Stegostoma tigrinum: one gene and its partner. The protein of the gene in region 1 purifies or fractionates together with the protein of each later gene. This does not show direct contact. Links are inferred from orthologs where the notes say so. Each region holds a gene or a part of one and is shown on either strand. Other genes may lie near its edges. The genes, in order: llgl2 and prkcz.

Region 1 (12,321 bases):
AAAAAAGGGCCCTATCTGGTAACTGGACCCAGCTGCCCCCTTCCCCAACTTGACAGGGGGCCAACGGGGACTGTGCAGGGTGACGACTGCCGGGGTATTTTCTTTGCTTTGTTTTTTTCTTCTTCTTTGTTTTTTTTTCCTTTAGTTGGTGTACGTACCCCGTGGGTGACCCAGAGCAGCTTGCATGACTGGGTAGGTGTATAAATATGTTTTATTTTTTGTACATCTTATGAATAAAGTATATTTTTTCAAATAAAAACAAGTGACGAAACGTCTGACAACTAACCTTCCAGCTCAGCGAGCAAACTCACATCCAGAACCTCAACCTGAGAAACAAATCTTCTCAAAACTCGCTATGACCTAAAATCATCTTATGTGGCTTAGTGTTTTCTCATACTTCTGTAAAGAGTCTTGAGATATTTATTAAGTTGATCTTTTTCAGGCACCATATTTTGCAACATTGATGATCACTGCTCTTCAAACTTTATGGTCTTTACTAACTCCCAATGTCCTGATATTGTTCTCAAATTTTATCCTGGTTCTGCCTCTTAAACTGTCACTGTATTTCCTCCTATTTCCCTCGAGTTCAAACCTACCAATCAGGTCTTCTGGTTTCTCTGTTCCAAGTCCATATCCAATGAATTGTTGCTAAATGCATATTAAAGTCTCAACAAAAACACAAGTTGTTAATTATTCCTGCTTGTTCTCTCTTTGACAATGGTCCTTCTCCCGCTATCATCGGGAGAGGGGCAAGGAGGAGTAGAGGTAGTTACAAAAGAGTTGCCCATGAAATAGTGGACCAATTTAAGGGGACAACAAAGGCAGTGACATTGCCCTGTCACTGTGTTGGGATTTGGCTTATAGCTCCCACACATGCCAGAATATGTTGTGAGAGCTACCCTCACTACCTCCACTTTAGCTGCACACATTTATGCGCTCTGCTGCAAGATGGTCAACAACAAAAAAAAACTGGAAAGAAGGTGGATCTTCCTGCAACGGTTCACATTATTACAGCATCAGGCTTTCAAGTATCTCCAAGTGAGGTTTTCCCCAAAAGCAAATCTACATCAATGTGGCAAACTGTTTGTTCGAGGAAACATGATTACAACACAATAGAAAGAATGTACAAGATCAGTCAACAATATCTGCTATGTGGTAGGGTTTCCTTGAGGGTAGAAAACCCATAGGGGGAAGCAATGGCCTAGTGGTAGTAACGCTAAATTATTAATCCAGGGAGCCAGGTAATAATCTGGGGACTGGGGCTCAAATTCTGCCATGACAGATACTGGAATGTGAATTCAACAAAAATATGTAATTAAGAGTTTCACAATAACTACGAAGTTATTGTTGATTGTCAAAAAACCTATTTGGTCCACTCAGGGTCTTTAGGGAAGGAAACCGCTGTCCTTACCCAGTCTGACCTACATGTGACTCCAGATCCATAGCAATGTGGCGGATTCTTAACTTCCCTCTGGGGATTTAGAAATGGCTGTCAATACTGGCTGAGCTACTGACAATCACATTCCACCAATGAATATTTAAAAATAGCACACTGCACCAATATGGGCATGAAAACTCTTCAGGGCAATTTTGTGGGTATCAAGGTGGTGTTCACTGAACTAATGTGATGGGGCAACACAGTGGCTCAGTGTTTAGCACTGCTGCCTCACAGCACCAGGGACCCGAGTTCAATTTCACCCTCCAGTGACTGTCTGTGCGGAGTGTGCACATTCTCCCCATGTCTTCGTGGGTTTCCTCCAGTTTCCTCCCACAGTCCAAAGATGTGCAGGCTAGATGGATTGGCCATGCTAAGTTGCCCATAGGGATGTGTAGATTGGGTGGGTTATAGGGTGATGGGTATGGGTGGGTTGCTCTGAGGGTCAGTGTGGACTTGTTGGGCCAAATGGCCTGTTTCCACACTGGAGGGATTCTATGTAATATTAATATACATCTCTTATATATGTATATATAAGAGATGCTGGTTGGCACCCAATGTTATTAACTTATATCAGATCGCCACACAACTAGTGAGCAATGAAATTGGGGTCCAAGGACAGGATGATGATATTTAAATCATTTTTTGTCGAAAGACTAAATAAATTAATGCAACTGTTCTTTTGTTAACCCATTGCTCGACTGCAATAAACAATACGCCTGAGTTTGTGATTTGAAGCCAGGCTTGCAACACTTTCTCAGCCAATCCCCTATGACACATTGTTTGTTGTCTGTTGTTTATGGGGAAAGCAAGCAACAGAATGTACCTTTGACCTTTCCTGTGATGTGGCTGCTGTACTGAATCGAACTGTCAGGACCATGAGAAGACCAACAAAAAAATTGTTCAAGGTGAAAACCTCAGCTGCAACAGACCACTGCCATGCCAACCGAGAAAAGCCAAAGAGGCCAGCAGCGAGAATTCCTCCAGTGTACGAATCTGACAACCTGAAACAAATGGAATGGGATATCAGAAACAGGAACAAGCCACTCAGCCCAATCTTTCCCGAACAACTGTTCTAACAGATGATGGGTGATTGGTAGCTTGAGTCCATTTATTCCCTATTGTGACATTTTCCATGACAAAAATGTTATTTCCATGACTTTAACAAAAACGAATCACAATGAGTAAAAAGAAAATCAGCTGTCATTTGCTAAAATCATTGATCACAGCCTGTGCAATTTCAAATGATTCAATTATGCTAAAAACCAATGCACGCCCATAACCCCACCCCCATTCACCATAATGGATAATCACCCAGTTCCGTTAACACTGGCATCTTACTAAACCTGCTGGAGTATTTCAGGTTGACTAAATGAAGTGGAGGTGCTGGACTCGGGTGGACAAGATCAGCAATCACAACACCAGGCTATAGTCCAAGAGGTTAATTTGAAAACACAAGTTTTCAGAGCCTCACTCCTTCCGGTGTTAGAAGGAGTGAGGATCCGAAAGCTTGTGTTTTCAAATAGACCTGCTAGACAATAACCTGGTGTGCTGTGATTTCTTGAGTTTGATTAAAAGCATCTGATCACCAATGAGTGACCTCTGCTGATTGGCTAGTGAGCTGTCAGGATGTGGGGAAAAGATGGGGAAAGGGTGTTGAAAGAGAAAGTGCAAGAAATATTAGAAGTCTGACAAGAGCGTAAGTAACAGTTAGATCTTTAGCAAAAAAAGTTGGAAGGGCACCAAAAGATAGGTCCTGATCTGTTGCAACTCTCACACGCTTTAATGGCTTCATTCTTGTAATTCACAAAACATTAAGTTTGTTTTCTCATTTTCTCTCAAAGGGACAGCTAATTCCTGACTGCGCCATTCTCTGAGGCTCTGTCTTTACACAACCCAATTTAGAGAGCGGTGAATGGATTCTATTTCTCTTCCCCTTCTGTACTGGGCTCAACAAAGTTTAAATTTAAGGAGAGGTGATAATGAGCTGCAATGGCAGTATCAGAAACAGTCCAGTGAGATCCCTTAAGCAAGAAATGAATAACTAGTTTATTCCCCAAAGTTTCTAACCCTTCTCAAAATATAACGTACAAACGCACAATGTCCAGCCCTGACAAAAATAAATCTGCAGATTATTATCTCAAAAGTACTTTGGCAGAATAACTGTTCAATTCATGAAAATGAATTGTTCACACATTTCACAAATATTTGTCTGTAGCCAAGTCATTTTACACATAAGCTGATAGCACTGGGGTCTCCCAGGATCAATCATAGCTGGCTATGTATATATAGAATTTTTCGTTTCTACTTTAGGTATTTAGCAGCCAGAATATTTTGCTTTGGTGTTTATTAATTATGTAGATGGGAACCAGGAGTGCCAAAGTGACATTGAAAGATTCAGCAAGTGCATGAAACCTTGGCAGATGAATTCAATGACCAAAAAAAAATGTCATCTAATCTGGACCAGAAAATTTGAATCAATTTTCTATCTAGCAGGAAAGATCAAACAGTGCAGGAGCAGAAAGATTTGGAAATTTTGGGAAAAAAAGTCACAAGCTTGTACACAGGCACAAAAATAATTTCTGAATTCAATGTTAACATTAAGCTGAAGGGGACTGGAATATTGTCGTCTATAAAGCTCAAATACAGCACATCAGAAGTGCCGCATTTAGTTTCAAGTATCCCAACTCAGAAAGGTCGAAGTGGCCATGCATGTATATAGTACCTTTAAATAACAGCTCATCCACCTCAAGAATAATTCAACAAATAATACATCAGTGTCAAAAAGGGATTCAATCATGAGGACAGCTATTTAGACTGGATTTATATTCCCTTAATTACATAAGATTAAAAGATGATTTAATTGAGATGTTTATGGTTAAATTAAGTTGATTGCATTAAGAATGGGACCCGGAACAAGGAGCCGATCAGGTCACATTCCTCACATTAACTTTATTTTTAGTAAAGATCTAACTGTTACTTAGGCTCTTGCCAGACTTCTAATATTTCCTGAAAATTTGGAACTTTACCCCAATAACGGAGTCAATTAACAATTTCAAATTGAGATTAACAGCTGTGTATTGGATAAGTGAATAAAAGGTTATGAAACCCAGGTTGCTTGAGAGAATTCAGATACTGCTCAGTTACAATTGAATGGAATGGTGGATAAGTCTGAGAAGCTGAATGACCCTGTCTCTGAAACTTTGATAGGAGTGTCTGTAGAGATAGAGTAGGATCCTGTTCCCTACGTTGGACTCACCTCCCAGCTGTCTCAAAGATTAATGGGGCTGTAGCTGCTCCCAATATAGCATTTAAAACATTGACTCTGAAAACAGGGGAGCCTACTGGAAGAATGGTCATTGCCAGTCTAGCCAAGACAGTGAACAATGGATATCCAGGAGGATGTGCCACCTGAAAAACAGAAAAGCAACAGACCATAAACCACCCACATCACCCAAAACATAACATGTCCAAAACCATCCATGATCAAGCATCTGCAGCCAGTACCCATCCTTAAAGCAGGCCATTCTGGCCAACTGCTGGATGCACCAACAGAGGAGACAGTCTTAAGAGGAATACAATTGACTACAATACCAAATCCAGATCATGTCCAGGTGAAAAAAACCTATCTCAGACTTCTCCACCCAATGCTCACTCAACACACATCTACTACTGTCACCTCTTACCATTGATCATGATCTTGGGATTTAGAAGTTGTAAAGTCAACCACTTCCTTCTGCCCTCGTCCACTCAGTTTTCCTCCCCTTCTCTAAACCAACATGCAAAACATAGATTTTAGGAAAAAGATCCCCAAGCTTTGTGCCAAATTTCCAGTGCCCTCATTTCTGGGCAACACACTGAATAGTCAGCCAGCTCAAACACTCCATTATTTGTCTTGTGGAGCCTCCCTTTTTTGCTGGCCCACTACAGTCTTTACTCCCCCAAGTCAGAGGACCTCAAACTCAGCACACGCAGTATAACTTGTCAGATCATCTGGCATGGAACATATCAAAGACTTGGAATGGTAGTAGCAGTCAAGAAGGTGGCTCTGTCAGGTGGAAACAGAAACTAGGATGAGACCATACTTCTTGTATTGTTGCCAGTACCTCAACAACCTAGCACATCTCAGGGCCCCTTTTACCTGCTTCTGGCATTTTTCAGTTTTGTTTCTACTTTACCAACATCATTTCCATGAGGTCCACCTAATAATTCCTTGATTTCCCAGGTACCTCATCAAACTCAGGATTCACCCGTTTCGTACACCAGCCACTGTGCATTTAACTCACAGTAAAATACCATCTCTGTCTTCAGCTCACCCTTCACTCATCCATTCTCTTATAATCCTTCATCTCTAAACTGCTTTCTCTCAAAACATTTCATCCCAACCCTTCCCATTTCCGTCAAATCTCTTTAATCTTTCTTGGGCTCCTGGTGCTCTTTCCTATCCATCACTCTCTGCACCATTCACCCAAGGGGGCAGTTTCTCTTCCTCCTTCCTTATCACACCTCGCACACTGTCCAGCATCTAGGCCACCTCTCAGTTTTACTTCCAATCCAAACAGAGTTAAAGTCACAATGACCAGGATTCTCTCTGACTCCACACCAGGAATTGGGGAAACTCACATCTTTACGCTTTCTTGCCACTAATCTCATTTCCACCACCAACCCCTCGCCGCCATTTGTTCAAACTGACTCTCGTTGGCCTATTGAAAACCGTAATCCCCCCGAGGGGGGGGATAAAAACGCCCGATTGCAGCTCTTCATTTTCTACCAGGGTTTCTCCATCATCAGCATCGACCCGACCTCAACACTGAAGCTGCAGGAATTCACTCACCCCCAGTTCGCAAGCAGCAGTCACCAGCTCTCCTGTGGAAACAACAGCAACATTGCAGTGACTGAGAGGAGCAACAAAAACAACGCCACCCCATTGCTCACATCCCCTTCCTCTCCCCTCCCCCGGCCCAGCACTGACCAGAGTCTCCCCCGGGCACCGTGCGCTGTACTGTCCGCAGATAGACGGCGGACAGACCACCGAGAAGCAGCAACGGGCCGAAGCCCGAACACGGACCACCACCGTTTCCAGGGAAACCCATGGAAACCAGAGATCCACAGCACTTCCGTGAACACAGCACTATGGGTAGTTTTGGACCAACGAAACAAAACCTTGAAGGAGAGGGTACTGTTCGGGTCTGATTTTGTTCCTGATTTGCAGCATCCGCAGTTCTTTCCTTTCTGTTTGGTACTGTAAGGGCCTTCCCAGCGCTTCCAGTGGCACGCCGTAACATCCCAAACAGCAGCCTGGCAATTACCCAATCTGACATTTACAGGTAGGGCGACACTATTGCCTTGATTCTGAGCAGGATTAAAAACATCAACATTCAGAGCCCAGCTAAAGAACGTTTTGAGTCAACTAAGTATTAGGATCTGGCTGTTGTCACTGGGTCTCACCTATAGGTTCCACTAGCTAGGTAAGGTATCACTTCCCCTTGCTCATTAATAAAGTGAAAGACTGTGGAAGAGAGACAGGCAGCCGGATGCAGGTCTCAGTTATCTCAGACCTTGGGATAACCATTTGGGCCAAGCTCAGATGCAGACCCCCTGAGACTGTGTTCATACCACTATGTGTTCATTCACTGAAGATCAGTGGTCCTGAAATATGGCCAATACTTGAAAAGCAGTGGTCTTAAATAGTCTCCTCCTGAGGTTTCCTGCATGACAGATGCATTTAGCCACTTGATTCGATATCAAGGAACAGTTGTGTGCGTGAGATTCAACAAAGGCTATGGGTTCTATCAATATCCCAAAAGTAGTACCAAAGACCTATGCCCCAAAACTAGACATGCATCTAGCCAATCTGCTCCAGTAAAGCTGCTACACTGGCAATAAGTGGCATTTATTCATCAGTCCATCTTGCTCATCAGTGTTCACTTTGAATTCTGCCAGGGCCACTCAATTCCAGACCTCATTACAGCCTTGGTCCAATGGATTAAAAAGTCTAATTGGTGAGGTATGAGTGACTGCTGTTCATATAAAGGTAGCATTTGACCATATGGTATCAAATAGAATTAGGACAAGTCACCACCAGTTGGAGTCATATCAAGCACAAAGGAAGAAGGCTGTGACTGTTGGAGGCCAATCATCTCACCTCCCCACTTCAGGACATCTCTGCAGCAGTTTTTTTCAGGACAGTGATCAATAATTTTTCCTCCATCCTCCGGTCAGATGTGGAGAGGTTCCCTAATGACTGTGCAATGTTCTGCACCATTCACGATTCCTCAAGTATTGAAGTAGTCTATGCCCATAAGCAATAAAATGTACATAGAATTCAAGCTCATACAGATGAGTAGTCTGTAACAATTGTGACATATGTATGTCAGTAAATAATGATCTCCAACAAGATTGTATCTAATTGTCTCCCATTGATATTCAATGACATTACTATCACTGAATCCTTCACCATCAACATTCTAGTTTTCATCATTGACCAGAAACTGAACTGGACCAATCATCAATACTTTGGTGACAAGAGCAGGCCAGAGGCTAGGAATTCTGCTGCAAGTAACTAATGCCCTCTCTCCTTAAAGTTTGTCCAACACCTGTAACACACGTCAGGAATATAATGAAATACTCTTCACTTTGCTAGATACACACAGCTCCAGCAACACTCAACAACATCCAGGACAAAGAAGCCTGCTTCAGAGATAATGGGAACTGCAGATGCTGGAGAATCTGAGATAACAAAGTGTGGAGCTGGACGAACACAGCAGGCCAAGCAGCATCTTAGGAGCACAAAAGCTGACATGTTGGGCCTAGACCCTTCATCAGAAATTTTCTGATTTTCTGATGAAGGGTCTAGGCCCGAAACATCGGGTTTTATGCTCCTCAGATGATGCTTGTCCTGCTGTGTTCATCCAGATCCACACTTCCTTATCTTTATCAAAGAAGCCTGCTTGTTTGATACCCTATCTACCACCTTAAGCATTAGCTTCCTCTTCCACCAAGGTACACTGGCAGTAGTATGTACCAGCTATATGATGCGCTGCAAAAAACCTGTCAAACTTCCTCTGCCAGACTGTTCCAGACTTGTGCTCTTGACACTTGTAAACAGCAGCAAATGCATGGAAACAGCTCTTTCTGCAAGTTCTTTTCCAAGCATCACACAATCCTTACTTGAAACATCTTACACTGATGGATTTTCACAGGGTCAAACTCCTGAAAATCCAGCCCTAACAGCATTTTGAAGGTATCTACATTATGTGGACTAGAGTAGTTCAGGGATATGGTATTATGGATGGTCTGCAAAGCATTTTCTTCCTTAATAAAGATAAATGCTAAATATTAATTTAATACCTCAATTATGCCCCTTCGTCTGTGCATAAAAACCCTTTTTGGTCTATATTTAAGCAACTCTTTCTTTCGTCTCCCATTTAACTTCATAAATGCCAATAAGTGACTTTAAGATTCCCTTACGTTAGCTGACAATCTCTTTTCATACTCTCTTTTTGCTTCTCTTAGATGGGACATTGTACATTGAGCTGGTGCTCCATTGTATTTAATTTACATCTTTTACTCCATAATTTATTTCGCCTTCATCTCAATCTCTATCTCGATCATCAAGGCCGCTCTTAATTTGTTTGGCTTGGTTTTCACCTGTGTGGAAATAGTCCAGGCACAATAACGGGGGTATATCTCTTCTATGAAGGTATAATATTGATCAGTTAAATTGAAATCAAAGGTTGGCAAGGAAAAACTTGGGTCAGTTTCATTCTCGCCTCCCCCAACCAAGTTGGCTTTCCAACTGATGGCTTTCCATCAGTTAATTATTCTTGTTCGAGATCATCCCTTGCTCTTTTTGCTGAAGAAGCTAAACTCGCTTTTTGATGTTTGCTGCCTCGAATAAGCTTAGCGCTGCCCCTTTAAGAGGTGACTGCAATGGGAACTGGGCGGTTGGCTGTTGCTGTGTGCGGCTGCGCGCTGTAGAAGCGGTGCGGGCCCTTTAAGAGGTTTCACCTGGCGGCCACACCTGACGGCGGGGATTCGGCTTGTGAGAGGGGAGAGCTAAGCAGTTAGTGCCACCCGGAGCTCAGGTAAGATTGGGAAGGCCCAGCAAGATTGGTGCGCCTATCGTGATCCAACCACATTTCTGCCCCCAAGCCCTGCGAGGAACCCGGCAGCTCGGAGCCGGACGGCAGGCCTGTCCTGGGGCTCAGTTACAGAGCAACGACCGGGGACTGAGTTAGGTTTACTGTAGTGACGGGAAATGGCAGCTGGCCTGGTTGCCGTTAATCAGGCCAAACTCCGTATGAATGTTTGTGTTGGCTTACTAATCAGCTTGATAATAGATAATCACTTGGGTAATGGTTAACTGTTTGGGTAATGGATTGCAAACCAGGTTAGCAATCAACTGGATAACATAACGAGCTTAACGTATTTTTAAATCAACTTGCCCAGAAACGTGGATACACGCCTCTGGTGTAGATGGGAGTTTTGAACCTGGGCCTCTTGTTGCGTACGGACCACTGCGCACGTGAACCGTCCTTTTTTGTAATAAAGTAATTAGGAAGTTGTTGATATCATTGTAGTCCCAGCTTTGTGCTTTTCTTTAACAACCCCATGAATGAATTCTATCAATAGGTTTTTGCCCTTGCTGCTATGCTAAAAGTGGTCTTGGGATATGTAACTGTAATGAAGAATTGTTGTCCTGTTTTGCTTTTGTAGCTTTTTGAAAGGGTTAACATAGAATTTTACTCCAACTTCTTTATTGAGCTGAGAGAGGTGGAGGATAGGTGACCTGTACTTAACAGTTGTGTTTCTAGCTGTCAAATTGTGGTATAACAGGTGCTTAAAATGGCATTTTGTTTTTCTTGCTTCTCTCCTGTAACTTCAAGTGATTTCTTCTCCCATGTGTCCTCCCCGTTATCTAACTGTAGTTCCTTCCTTTTTGTTATCGACAAGCTGCCTTTGTGCCATTTGAAAATACAGCATTGACTTTTCATGTATGCTATACTTAGCTGTATTTCACCACTATCCCTTTTCTTGATTTCTCCAAATTTTGACATTCAGTACTGAATGAGTAAATTGGGTTTTTTTCCCTATTGAATATTAGGAAGACAGAAACCAGAGAACTGATGTATCAGCAAACCTGGTTACAAGATAAATGGGGTGCACAATGCCTGCAAAATGACCCAGGTTAAGTGAGGGAGCAACAAGATGGCAAGATTGACAAGTCGCCAGGCCCGGATCAGATTTGTCCTCGGCTGCTTTGGGAAGCGAGAAATGCAATTGCTTCGCCACTTGCGAAGATCTTTGCATCCTCGCTCTCCACTGGAGTCGTACCTGAGGACTGGAGAGAGGCAAATGTAATTCCTCTCTTCAAGAAAGGAAATAGGGAAATCCCCGGCAATTATAGACCGGTAAGTCTCACGTCTGTCTTCTGCAAGGTGTTAGAAAGGATTCTGAGGGATAAGATTTATGACCATCTGGAAGAGCATGGCTTGATCAAATACAGTCAACACGGCTTTGTGAGGGGTAGGTCATGCCTTACAAACCTTATCGAGTTTTTTGAGGATGTGACTAGAAAGGTTGATGAGGGTCGAGCTGTGGATGTGGTGTATATGGACTTCAGTAAGGCATTTGATAAGGTTCCCCATGGTAGGCTCATTCAGAAGGTCAGGAGGATTGGGATACAGGGGAACTTAGCTGCTTGGATACAGAATTGGCTGGCCAACAGAAGACAGCGAGTGGTAGTAGAAGGAAAATATTCTGCCTGGAAGTCAGTGGTGAGTGGAGTTCCACAGGGCTCTGTCCTTGGGCCTCTACTGTTTGTAATTTTTATTAATGACTTGGACGAGGGGATTGAAGGATGGGTCAGCAAGTTTGCAGACGACACAAAGGTCGGAGGTGTCGTTGACAGTGTAGAGGGCTGTTGTAGGCTGCAGCGGGACATTGACAGGATGCAGAGATGGGCTGAGAGGTGGCAGATGGAGTTCAACCTGGATAAATGCGAGGTGATGCATTTTGGAAGGTCGAATTTGAAAGCTGAGTACAGGATTAAGGATAGGATTCTTGGCCGCGTGGAGGAACAGAGGGATCTTGGTGTGCAGATACATAGATCCCTTAAAATGGCCACCCAAGTGGACAGGGTTGTTAAGAAAGCATATGGTGTTTTGGCTTTCATTAACAGAGGGATTGAGTTTAAGAGTCGTGAGATCTTGTTGCAGCTCTATAAAACTTTGGTTAGACCGCACTTGGAATACTGCGTCCAGTTCTGGGCGCCCTATTATAGGAAAGATGTGGATGCTTTGGAGAGGGTTCAGAGGAGGTTTACCAGGATGCTGCCTGGACTGGAGGGCTTATCTTATGAAGAGAGGTTGACTGAGCTCGGTCTCTTTTCATTGGAGAAAAGGAGGAGGAGAGGGGACCTAATTGAGGTATACAAGATAATGAGAGGCATAGATAGAGTTGATAGCCAGAGACTATTTCCCAGGGCAGAAACGGCTAGCACGAGGGGTCATAGTTTTAAGCTGGTTGGTGGAAAGTATAGAGGGGATGTCAGAGGCAGGTTCTTTACGCAGAGAGTTGAGAGCATGGAATGCGTTGCCAGCAGCAGTTGTGGAAGCAAGGTCATTGGGGTCATTTAAGAGACTGCTGGACATGTATATGGTCACAGAAATTTGAGGGTGCATACATGAGGATCAATGGTTGGCACAACATTGTGGGCTGAAGGGCCTGTTCTGTGCTGTACTGTTCTATGTTCTATGGTGTATAATGTAGGGTAATGAGATTATTCTAATTGTTTTCAAATATTAAAACATACTTCCAACAAGTGTAAGACTGTTGGTTACTTTTCAAAGAAATTCAGCAGTACAAGACATGTCAGACATTTG
Region 2 (11,936 bases), on another chromosome or scaffold:
AGACTACACAGAAAGAGGAGGGTTCAGAAGAAGCAGACCCCGCCAAGATTCAACATTGAAAACCTGGATGACATGGTCACTATACAACATTCACAGGCCTCACTTGCTAAAACCTACCTTGGGAATACCCAGAGGACATAGGAGAACACTAGAGTCTGCTTAGATCAACAATTTTCAGCACCTGCATTAACAAGCCTTGGTTACAAGTCTAGAAACCATCAGGACTGCTTTGATGAGAATGACATGCAAACTGAGCAGTTAATCTGCAAGAAAAGGACAGCCTTCTGGCAATGACATCAAAGTAAGGCCAAAAGAAGGACTTGTTCAAAGCTAAGGCTGCTGTCCAGAGGAGGGTAAGGGAGTTCAAAAACAAATGGTGGACTGATAAGGCCTTTGAAATGTAGCAGATGGCACATGCCAGTAAGAAATTTCTTCAGTGCCACCAAGGTAGTATATGGTACAAGTTACTGACGTATAAACCCCCTGATCTCCAAGGACAAACAAAAACTATACACCAAAGCAATAAACACCCACTGGAGAGAGCATTCCCAAGAACACCTCAACTGTAATACCAATGTTAACTTGGAAATCATTAACCAAGTCCTCCAGAGATCAATGCAAGGTGACGAGGAATAATCTCCTGGGTGTGACCAAAGTACAAAGATGCCATAAGGAGCCTCAGAAACAACAAGGCTGCTGGTCTTGTTGGGAATACTGCAGAGATCCTACAGTAGGGTGGCCCACAGCTCCATGAACACATGCATGCTTTGCTCTTGAAGATTTGTCTCAAAGAAGAACTTGGCTCATAGCTGAGGGATGTTCTGATTGTGACCATATTTAAAAGGGGTGACAAGGCTGACTTTGGGAATTACAGAGGCATCTCACTTCTGACCATAATACTTGAACATGCCCTTGCCAATAGACGTCTGCCATTTTCTGAGGAAATATTCCCTGAAACGCAGTATGGTTTCCGCCTATCCACAGGAATAACAGACATGATCTTCATAGCATATCAATTACAAGAAAAATGCCATGAGCACAAAAACATGCTTTTAATGGTCTTCATTGACTTATTTAAGGCTGTCTTGCTGACACTCTCATAATGGGGCTGCCCTGACAAGCTCATCCGAAAGCTGAGGCTACTGCATGATGACATGTCTGCGACAATGCTTAACAACTGTGGATTGGAGTCTGAGCCTTTCACCATGGGGTTGGGGTCAAGCAGGGCTGCATCACTGTACCCACCCTGTTACCCATCTTCATTGCCGCCGTCCTCCATCTCACTGGCCAAAACCTGCCCAAGAGAATTCAAATCATTTATCATATGGACTTTGCAGGCTGTTCAACCTTAATAAATTCAAGGCCAAGGGCAAGGTTCCGACCATATGCATCTTGGAGTTTCAATATGCTGATGACAGTGCCATTGCAGCACACGCTGCAGAAGATCTTCAGTGTGCCTCGGATGGCTTTGCCAAGGCATATAATCTCCTAGGCCTTACACTTATCATTAAAAAGACTCTAGCAGTCCATCAACCACCACCCAGCAACGGCTCCTAAATAAGGGTCAACAACCAGCCCTTGAAAATGTGCATCATTTCCCATACCTCGGCAGCCTTCTCTCCTGCAAAGCCAACATTGATGCAGAAATACACGATTTGAGCCGTGTCATTGGAGGCTGTGCCTGACTCAGAAGAAGGCTGTTTGAAGACAATAACCTACAGGCCCGGACTAAACTTCTGGTCTACAAAGCCATTGTCCTTCCCACACTGCCAAATGGAACTAAAATGTGGACTACGTACACGAGGAATCTTAAAGCACTGGAATAACACCATTAGATATACCTACAAAAAATCCCACGGATCACCTGTAAATAAAAGCGCACGAACACAAACAACTTGGAGGAGGCCAAAATAGCCAGCGTCACCACCATCATAATTCCGCAGCAACTCCAATGGACTGGCCATGTCATCCAAAAGCCCATCTTACGCCTCCAAAAAGAGATCATGTGCTCCCTGCTAAAGGAAGATCAACATGCTGCTGGTGGCCAAAAGGAACACTTCAAAGATAACATCCAGACCAACTTCAAGAAATTTCATATCAACGTGGCTACAAAACAGAATCACTGGAGAAATGTCACTCACCAGGGAGCTATATGCCACAAAAACAATCTCCATCATGCCGCTGAACAGAAGTGACTCTTGCACAAGGATACACAGAACATCAGGAAGGCGCACCAACCACCACTTCCAACCACCATTACCACCCACCGTGTCCACATTGCATTAGAATCTGTGGATCCTGGATTGACCGCTTCAGCCACCTCAGCCACCAGAAGACCCCCAAATAGATGCTGTTATCGAGGACAATCAAACTCAATATGAGTGATTGCTGAGAGAGTTGTGTAAGGATCTGTCGTTGTGATCTTCCTTCTTAACAGTCTTTCTATCCTTTTGCAATCACCCATAAACACAATGGTAGGTTCCACTCATACGTAAAACATGCTCTGCTCTATCTTGACACAACGTTCCTTGAGCCTTCCACTGTCTCTGATTACCTGATTTGTTTTTCATGCAATGCAAGCAAAAATTTTGTCCAGCTAAATATTTGGCAAACTCAATTGCCTGGTCTTCATCACGAAATCTATTCTGATGTCTTTATCTCTTTTTCTTATAGCTATCTGAGGATGAACTAAACTATTTGCAACTTTGAAGTTATATTTGACCCAGGTTGTGCTTCTGACCCCAGATTCACTCAATCACCAAGAGTGCTGAGTTCCACTTCCAGATGCTCGACACTATTTGTGCCTCAGTTCATCTGTTATGGAATTCCTCATCCACGCTCTTGTCATATCTAAATCTGACTGCTGCATGCTGATTTGGCTAGCCTCCCGTTTGACACCATATATATATCCAGGATCATCTACAACTCTCTTCCTGGTGTCTTTACAACACATGTAGCCAGGAATACACTTTCTGAAGGAGCATTTGGAGAGAATCAATACCTCGATCCATTAAGTCAAAATAACGTTCAACACAAAAATGAAGTAGCTTTGCATTTGGGCACAATGCCATCCTGTAATCTAGTGTAGTTTGCAACTTATTAAAATTTTTGATACCTTTGTTAGAACTTATAATAATGTGTGATAGATTGGAGATAATTCAGATTTGCATCACCAATGTATCCTTGCAGAGCTTATCAGAAATATGAGTGATGATGGGAACTGCAGATGCTGGAGAATCCAAGATAACAAAGTGTGGAGTTGGATGAACACAACAGGCCAAGCAGCATCTCAGGAGCACAAAAGCTGACGTTTCGGGCCAAGACCCTTCATCAGAGAGCTCTCTGATGAAGGGTCTAGGCCCGAAACGTCAGCTTTTGTGCTCCTGAGATGCTGCTTGGCCTGCTGTGTTCATCTAGCTCCACACTTTGTTATCAGAAATATGCATCCTTTTTATTAGCCATGACTCAGTGATAGCACTCTTGCCTATTGGTTAGTAAATTGTGGGTTTAATTCCCACTGCAGAGATTTGAGCATAACATCTAGAATCATAGAATCCCTACAGTGCAGTTGGAGACCATTCCGCCCACTGAATCTGAGCCGACCCTGAGAAGAGCATTCGGCCCAGACGCAGCCTCCGATGCTAACCCCGTAACCCAGCATTCACCTGGCTCAAAAGATAACAAGGTGTAGAGCTGGATGAACACAGCGAGCCAAGCAACATCAGAGGAACAGGTAAGGCTGATGTTTTGGGTCTAGACCCTTCTTCACTGCAGTTCCGACTATCTCATTCACCTGGCTAACCCACCTGCACATTCCAGGACACTACGAGGCAATTCAGCATGGCCAATCCACCTAAACTGCATGTCCTTAGATTGTGGAGGGAAACCAGAGCACTCAGTGGAAACCTGCACAGATGGGGAGAACATGCAAGATCCACACAGACAGTAGCCCAAGCCCTTGATGCTGTGAGGCAGCTGTGCTAACTACTGGAACATTTCCAGTGGGAGTACTGCAGTATTAGAGATATAGTCCTTATTGAGACCATAAATTGTCCTTTTGACTGGATGCTGAAGATTCCACAGTAATATCATAGAATCCCTACAGTGTGGAAACAGGCCCTTCGTCCCAACAAGTCCACACTGAACCCCAAAGCATCCCACCCAGACCCATCCCCCTATAACCCACATACCCCTGAATACTATGGGCAATTTAGTATGACCAATCCACTCAGCCTGCACATCTTTGGACTGTGGGAGGAAACCAAGGCACCCGGAGGAAACTCACACAGACATGAGGAGAATGTGCAAACTCCACACAGGCAGTTGCCCAAAGCTGGCATCGAACCCAGGTCCCTGGTACTGTGAGGCAGCTTTGCTAACCACTGTGCCACTGTGTTGCCTTTTCTGCATATACACAAAAGACAGTTTTTCAAGTAAATTTTATTCGTTTACCGTCAGCCGATCCTATGAGCAGGTTAGCTGACCTTTATCAGGACGCTGTTTGAGTGACCTTTGAGCATTTAAATTGCCTGCAGAACTTCCTTACTTTCATTGCAACAGTGATTACACTTCATTGACTTTAAAATGTTTGAAAACTGACTGGAGGGAGCAGCAAAAATATCTGAGCCTCAATGATGGAAGAGCCCAACGCATCAGTGCAAAAGATAAGCCATTCATAACAATGTTCAGCCAGAAATACCAAGTGGATGATTCATCTTGGCCTCCTCCAGTGGCCCCTAGCATTATGGATCCAGTCTTCAACCAATTTGATTCACTTCACTTGATATTAAGAAATGGTTGGAGCCACTGTACACTACAGAGGCCATGTACCTGACACCATTCTGCAATAGTACTGAAAATTTCTATGACAGAACTTGCCACCCCCCAGCCAAGCTCTTCCAGTACATTTACAACACTGGCATTTACCTTACAATGTGGAAAATTGCCCAGGAATGTCCTGTACATTAAAACCAGGACAAATCCAAGCCAAATTACCATCCCCTCAGTCAGCTCAAAGCGATGGAAGGTGTCATCAACAGTGCTGTCAAACAGCACCTGCTCAAAAATAACTTGCTCAGTACAGATTCTGGCACGGCTGTTCACCTCCTGACCTCATTATAGCCTTGATTCAAACATAGACAAAGAGCTGAATTCCAGAGGTGAGCTAAGAGTGACAGCCCTTGACATCAAAGCTGCATTCTATCAAGTATGGCAGCAAGGGTTCCCAATAAAACCAGAATCAGTGAGAATCAAATGGAAAACTCTCCTCTGGTTGGAGTCATGCTGGTACATAGGAGATGGTTGTGGTTGTTGGAGGTCAGTCCTTTCAGCTCCAGGACATCTCTGCGCGAGTTCTTCAAGGTTGTGTTGAGGCCATCCCAACTTCAGCTGTTTCATCATTGACCTTCCCTCCATCATTGGGGATGTTTGCTGATGATTGTACAATGTTCAGCACTATTTACATCTCCTCAGATACTGAAGCAGTCCATGTTCAAATGCAACAAGATTTGGACAATATCCAGGTTTGGGCTGACAGGTGGAAAGTAACGTTCATGCCACACAAATGCCAGGCAATGACCAGCTCTAATAAGAGACAAGCTAACCACTACCCCTTGACATTCAATGGTATTACCATCACCGAATCTCCACTATCAACAGTAGTGAGTAACTCACCTCCTGACTCCCCAAGCCTATCCACCATTTACAAGGCGCAGTTTAGGAGTGTGATTGAATACTGTTCATTTGCCTGAATGGGTAGAGCTCCAGCTGCAGTGGGAATTAAACCCACAATTTACTAACAAATAGGCAAGAGTGCTATCACTGAGTCATGGCTAATAAAAACAATGCCTATTTCTGATAAGCTCTGCAAGGATACATTTGTGATGCAAATCCAAATCCAAGAAGCTTGACATCAACCTGGATATTTGATTAGCACCACATCAACAAAATATCCACACCATCCACCACCAATGCTCAGTAGCAACAGAATATATTACCTACAAGATGCGCTGCAAAAATTCACCAAAGATCCTTAGACACCATCTTCCAAAACCACAACCATGTCCATCCAGAAGGACAAGGGCTGTTGCTGGGTCAAAATCCTGAAATTTCCACTTTAAGGGCATTGTGGGCCAACCTACAGCACATAGAATGCAGCAGTTCATAAAGGCAGCTCAAAGGCAAATAGGAATGGACAATAAATGCTGGCCCAGCCAGTGACACCCATGTCCAATGAGTTAATAAAATCAAGAGGTCAGGTCGTCCTGAAAGGACGTTTTAGATATTTTCTAATCAATGCAAATTGGTCCTGTGTTAAAGGTAAATGAAAGGACCCATTTTATTTTAATGTATACTTCTGGGAAAATATATGACTTAGAAGACACCTGCTGGGTTTTTTTTGGACTCTGTTTTCAATGTTAGTCAGGGAAGAGTCTGCCATTGGAAAAAGGCAGGTTTTTTTTGTCAGAATACCAGTCGGGGATGTTATTTACATGCCTTTGGAGCAAGTGACACTTGAACGCAGGTCTCCCAACTCAGTGTTAGTAGGAACTGCTGATGCCGGAGAATCTGAGATATCAAGGTGTAGAGCTAAATGAACACAGCAGGCCAAGCAGCATCAGAGAAAGAAGGGTCTTCACACGCAACTCTCTGATGAAGGGTCTAGGCCCGAAACGTCAGCTTTTGTGCTCCTGAGATGCTGCTTGGCCTGCTGTGTTCATCCAGCTCCACACTATTATCTTGGAATTCTCCAGCATCTGCAGTTCCCATTATCTCTTCACACGAAACGTCAGTTTTCCTGCTCCTCTAATGCTGCCTGGCCTGCTGTGTTCATCCAGCTCTACACCTTGTTATCTCCTAAATCAGTGATGACATTCCGAAAGAGCGTGACGAACGCGATTTCAGTGCAAGGCTTTCATTCTGTTGTTCAGTATGAGAGGCTTCTTGTCTCCCATTGGTTCCAGGTGATTTGGGGAGGGCGGAGGCCGCGATCGGATTGGCGGCAGGTTTTTCATTAAACAACGCAGCCATCCCTTGTTCTATTGGTCAAAGTTCGATTTGTTCCTGATTGGCCAAGGTGGGATTCCGTTCGCCGGTTTGTCCCTCGGGATTGGCTGGGGAGGGAGGGTAGTACAGGTAACTTCTGCTAGAATGTGATTGGTTGTTGATGCGGCTTGTGGTGTCCACGCTGGGGGGGCGGCGCAGGGTGGGAATTGTCGGTTAACCTGTAACCGCCATTTGTGCAGCGCGAGCTTTGCTAGAGTGGCGGGCTACCGGCAGCAACAAGTTTCCTTAGGAGCGCAATCGAGCAAAAAGAAACACGAGTTGATACTTCGTCACGACATTGAATAATAACGAGTTTCATCGAAAGTCTTATGTTCCATCTTTTCTGAAACTTGATTGGCTTCTGTGATTCAATTCGGCTTTTTTTTAAACAAGCAAAGATCTGCTGAGGTTGAAGCTTTGGGTTTTCCTAAAAGGAAAGTGGTGGAATTTGTACTGGAGAAGCAGCGAGAGGCTTTTTCGTAACTGCGCCTTCCTGTCCGAAAGTTTGCGCTGGTTTACTTTGAATCCGTTCGCTGGTGGAGTGTCGATTGTGTCATGCCTACGAGGCTGGATAACAACATGGAGCACGGAACAGGTGACTCGATCAAAGTCAAAGCTCACTACAATGGGTAAGTTAAAATAATTTGACACTCGATAGCTTCCCACAGTATTTACCTAGCATACTATTCGCTTAAGAAAGCGTTTTGTTTTATTGCGTCTCTTAGAAAATTGATTGAAAGATGAAAGCGTTTTCTTCAGGGAAAAACAATTTATCTGTGCGATCATGCTGCTGTGAAACTTTTTTGACACTTTTTTTGTAGGCAGTTACAGAGAAGATATGCAGAGTTTCAAGCATTTTAACACTAACAGTGTATGTTTCCAGTTAATCTATTCGAAAACTATTTATTTTCTTACCATACTAAACATTTGGCTTTGACGTTATTGAACAGGATGCTGTCTAAAGTGCGCTGTTTGTCTAAGAATTTTACGCGTTACATTATTAGACCTGTTAAATATGGGCTAGTTATTTTGATTCCTGTTTTGGTGTGGACATGCTTAAATTATCCTTCAGTGTGAATAATTTGGGGCATCAGCCAAAGGTTGTGACTCTGGTGTTGATCATAAAATCTGTATGACAAAACAAGGATGTCTTAGTCCTTCAGCCCCTGTAGTTATGGGTTTTGTTTTTGCAGGAATTTTAATTTACTAATTCAGGTAATGGCTTCTGTCTGCATAATTTTGAGCTTTTAAATATTACAGCCTTCTAGTGGTTCTGAGTGTTCAGTCTTTTCTCTTCAATTAATTTGCCATTATGTTGGTTGTGATACTGTAAACAAATATAACACCTGGAATTAGATGGCATGCTAAATATTAGGTACGTTTGATTTTTCAAGTCTATCACAACCAAGCACATCTAAAGTTTTTTTTGGTTTGTGACAAAATCTGAAAAACATTTTCGTGACCTCAATTTGCCTATGAGGACCCAACATGGCAGCATCCAGCCAATTAGATTCTACCCATGTGATTGCAACAAACGTCCAAAGACACTGGATACTGCAGAGAATGTGGAGCCTAACAACATTCCAACAATTGTGCTGATAAATCATGCTCCAGCACCAGCCAGGTACCTAGCTGACCTGTTAAAGTACATTTTTCATTAAGGTATCTATGAGAAAATGTGAAAAATTACCCACATATGTTCTGCCCACGTTAAATAGGCTAAATCCAACTTGGTCAGTTATCACTACTTCATTCTTCTCTCAATTATCAACAAACTGACAGCATTGTAGAATAAATCAGTTACTTCAGAAATGACGTGGCAAAAGGAGGACTGAAGGCCATATAATTGGGATTTTACATGTGTAATAGTATACACGTAACCTGAAACCAGAGACACAAACTAAAGCTACTCTATATTGCAGCTTTCAGCCTTGTTACACTCAGGTTGTCTCTTTGCTTGAAGATAAAAAAGATTTTTTTACAGAATTTAGTTTTCTTCCTGTCTCTTCAATGATTTAAATCTCATTGGATTGTTGTTGTTGTTGTTGTTGTCAAGTAGCATGGTGCTGTATTTTCTGGCCACTCTTGTTCAGCCAAACATCTTGTGTGTAGATATAAGGGGAGGCAGTGGCCTAGTGGTATTATCACTGGACTGTTAATCCATAGACTCTCAGTTAATCCAAAGAATCATAGCACGGTGCCTGAGTGGTTAGCACTGCTGCCTCACAGCGCCAGAGACCCGGGTTCAATTCTACACCTCGGACGCCTGTCTGTGTGGAGTTTGCACGTTCTCCTTGTGCTTGTGTGGGTTTCCTCCTGGGTGCTCCAGTTTCCTCCCATGGCTCAGATGTGCGGGCTAGATGGATTGGCCATGTTAAAATTGCCCATAGTATTCAGGGTTGTGTAGATTAGGGGAATGGGGTCTGGGTGGGGTGCTGTGAAGGTCGGTGTGGACTTGTTGGGCCGAAGGGCCTGTTTACACACTAGGGATTCTATATCAAAAATGTATACCTAGGAAATATTTTGGGGTCCCAGGTTTGAATCCCATTGGGCAAATAGAATTTGAATTCAATAAAAATCGGGAATTGAGAGTCTAATGATGATGACCATGAATCCCTTGTTGATTATCAGGAAAAATCCATCTGGTTTGCCCCTGTCTTTTAAGGGAACGAAACTGCCATCAATACCTGGGTAAGGTCTATATGTGACTCCAGACCCACAGCAATGACTCTTAACTGCCCTCTGGGTAATTAGGGGCGGGCAATAAATGCTGGCCTAGCCAGCAACACCCACATCCTGTGAAAGGATTTTTAAAAAATTGCATGATGTGCTTAAGTATTATGTTGGGGAATTTTGAGTTATGACTTTGATTATAATTATAGAGCAGGAATTTGTAAACCTAATGGCTGAACCAGCTTCCTTTGGGAATGCATATCCAATAAATTACTTATCCAACTGACACACAGCAAACTTGATTTTTACTGGGAGCGCAAAGTGAGGAATGCCAAGTTTAAAAACTTTATTATCCAAAAAAAGCCACACTGCAATCTGATATGGATCCCTTTTCATTCCAGTGGAAAACATCAATTTCACCTTTTAGACATAGAACAAGATTTTATTTGTTTGGTTGACACAGCAAAGTGTTTAAAACTGAAAACAACATTAATGTATTCTGAATCTACTTGACTAACTTGGCCTTCTCGCATGTACATGGATGAGTGTAGTGCGTAGTTTGTGAAGTGTCAGTTTGATTTTGGAGAGACTATTCTACAAATCTGGCCTTACCATCATAAGCTTATTTCTGTTGTTGCATGTTATAATATGAAAACTGATGTTCACATGTACTTTAAAACAACGTGGACAAGTAACTGATGAGGTTATTTGGAAATTTGTGTGTCTTGGAGATGTTTGAGAGGACAAATGTGTTTGATCTTCTTGCCAAGTCTGTCAAAGAAGACCTCAGGTCGAGAAAACCAGTGTCCCCCAATAGTATTAGTCAGTTGGGATTCAAAGTAGCTGTTCAGACATACCAGCAGTTCCAGGATCAAACTCTGTGATTGTGCAAATGGAATCCCTTCAAACGTGCATAATATCTGGGAATATTGAAATAGAAAATAAATTCTAACAACTTGATAAGACAACAGCTCAATTAATCTTGGAGAGTCATTGTTGGAAAATAGTATATACAAAAAAGGTTAGACTGCCTGCAATCAACTATTTTGTAAATAGTGATGAAATGAAAAGCCCTTGGCCTACAGAGTAATATATGACCAAGTTGATTTAAGCTCATGATTTTGCAGATTTTACTTCTGTAATAGAGGCAAGTGTAATGGAGATAAATAAGGAAAGTGGAATTCAGGATTATCAATCATGGAAATGATAAGAGTAAACTTTATGGGTCAAATGGCCTCCATCTGCTCCTCTGTCTTATGGTCATGAGAGAGAACTTCTGAGTCTGTTACACTTAATGGGAGAGGTAGCTCCTTGAAATTAAGAAGGTTGAATATAAGGGCATCATACCAGAATATATCTGCATATAGGTAATGGATAGATACTATTTTTGACTCCTGAAGAGGCGCAAAAGTAAGTCAGTTAGAACTTGGTTAGATGGCAAAAAGTTAAGTGCTTTAGTTCTAGTAGGATGAGAAATGTAGGAATGGAATCAGAATTCCAGTAAACGAGTGATACAAGAGATAAGTTCAAGGTGACTGACAAATCTAAAAGGGTGATCCACAGTTAAACTCAAAGAAAAGCTGATTGTCACATAAGTGTAATTCCCAACATGACCACTGGTCATCTATTCGACAGTGACGTCCTAAAGCATTATGGTCAAGCTTTCTCAAAATTCCAAAGCAATACAACAGCTTATAAACCAGCAATGGAATATAAAATATGGAAGTTAGAGAACATGGGGAAATAAATAGCAACATCTTGAAAAATGTCCATATTACAGAGGAGGAGATGCTGAACATCTTTAAAATGCATGAAGGTGGATAAATCCCCAGGATCAGAACTCTGGGAAGCAAGGGAAAAGATTGCTGGGCCCCTTGCAGAGAAATTTGTATCATCAGTAGCCACAGGTGGAGAAGTGGAAGACTGGGATGGCTATTATTATGCCAGAAGTTAAGAAAGGCAATAAGGAAAAGCCAGGAAACTATAGTCCAGTGAGCCTGACATTAATGGTGGGAAAGCAGTTTGAAAGAATTCTGAGGGGCAGGATTTACATACATTTGGAAAAGCAAGGACTGTTTTAGGGATTGTCGTTGTGACTTTGTGTGTGGGGATGTACTTCATTTAAGGTGTTCAGCAAGGTTCCTCATGGTAGACTGGTTAGCAAGGTAAGATCACAGGGAATGTAGGAAGAACTAGTTATCTGGATTCAGAATTGGCTG

Evidence for each region.
Region 2: the proteins of llgl2 (region 1) and prkcz purify together in Homo sapiens (affinity purification with mass spectrometry; 7 studies listed by BioGRID and IntAct, counting the BioPlex papers as one, with this or other methods). This does not show direct contact. The link is inferred for Stegostoma tigrinum from reciprocal best matches to the Homo sapiens genes LLGL2 and PRKCZ.

Annotation. Positions count from the first base shown.
Region 1 is NC_081375.1:36,782,740-36,795,060, forward strand, and holds the start of llgl2 (LLGL scribble cell polarity complex component 2), read left to right. Parts: upstream 1-6,550; 5' UTR 6,551-6,762; intron 6,763-9,389; exon of another isoform or gene 9,390-9,522; intron 9,523-12,321. Other genes in the region: tmem260 (transmembrane protein 260), read right to left, coding at 2,262-2,439, 4,695-4,846, 6,270-6,301, 6,408-6,528. UniProt on the Homo sapiens protein: Part of a complex with GPSM2/LGN, PRKCI/aPKC and PARD6B/Par-6, which may ensure the correct organization and orientation of bipolar spindles for normal cell division.
Region 2 is NC_081381.1:22,667,260-22,679,195, forward strand, and holds the start of prkcz (protein kinase C zeta type), read left to right. Parts: upstream 1-7,212; 5' UTR 7,213-7,599; coding exon 7,600-7,673; intron 7,674-11,936. UniProt on the Homo sapiens protein: Calcium- and diacylglycerol-independent serine/threonine-protein kinase that functions in phosphatidylinositol 3-kinase (PI3K) pathway and mitogen-activated protein (MAP) kinase cascade, and is involved in NF-kappa-B activation, mitogenic signaling, cell proliferation, cell polarity, inflammatory response and maintenance of long-term potentiation (LTP).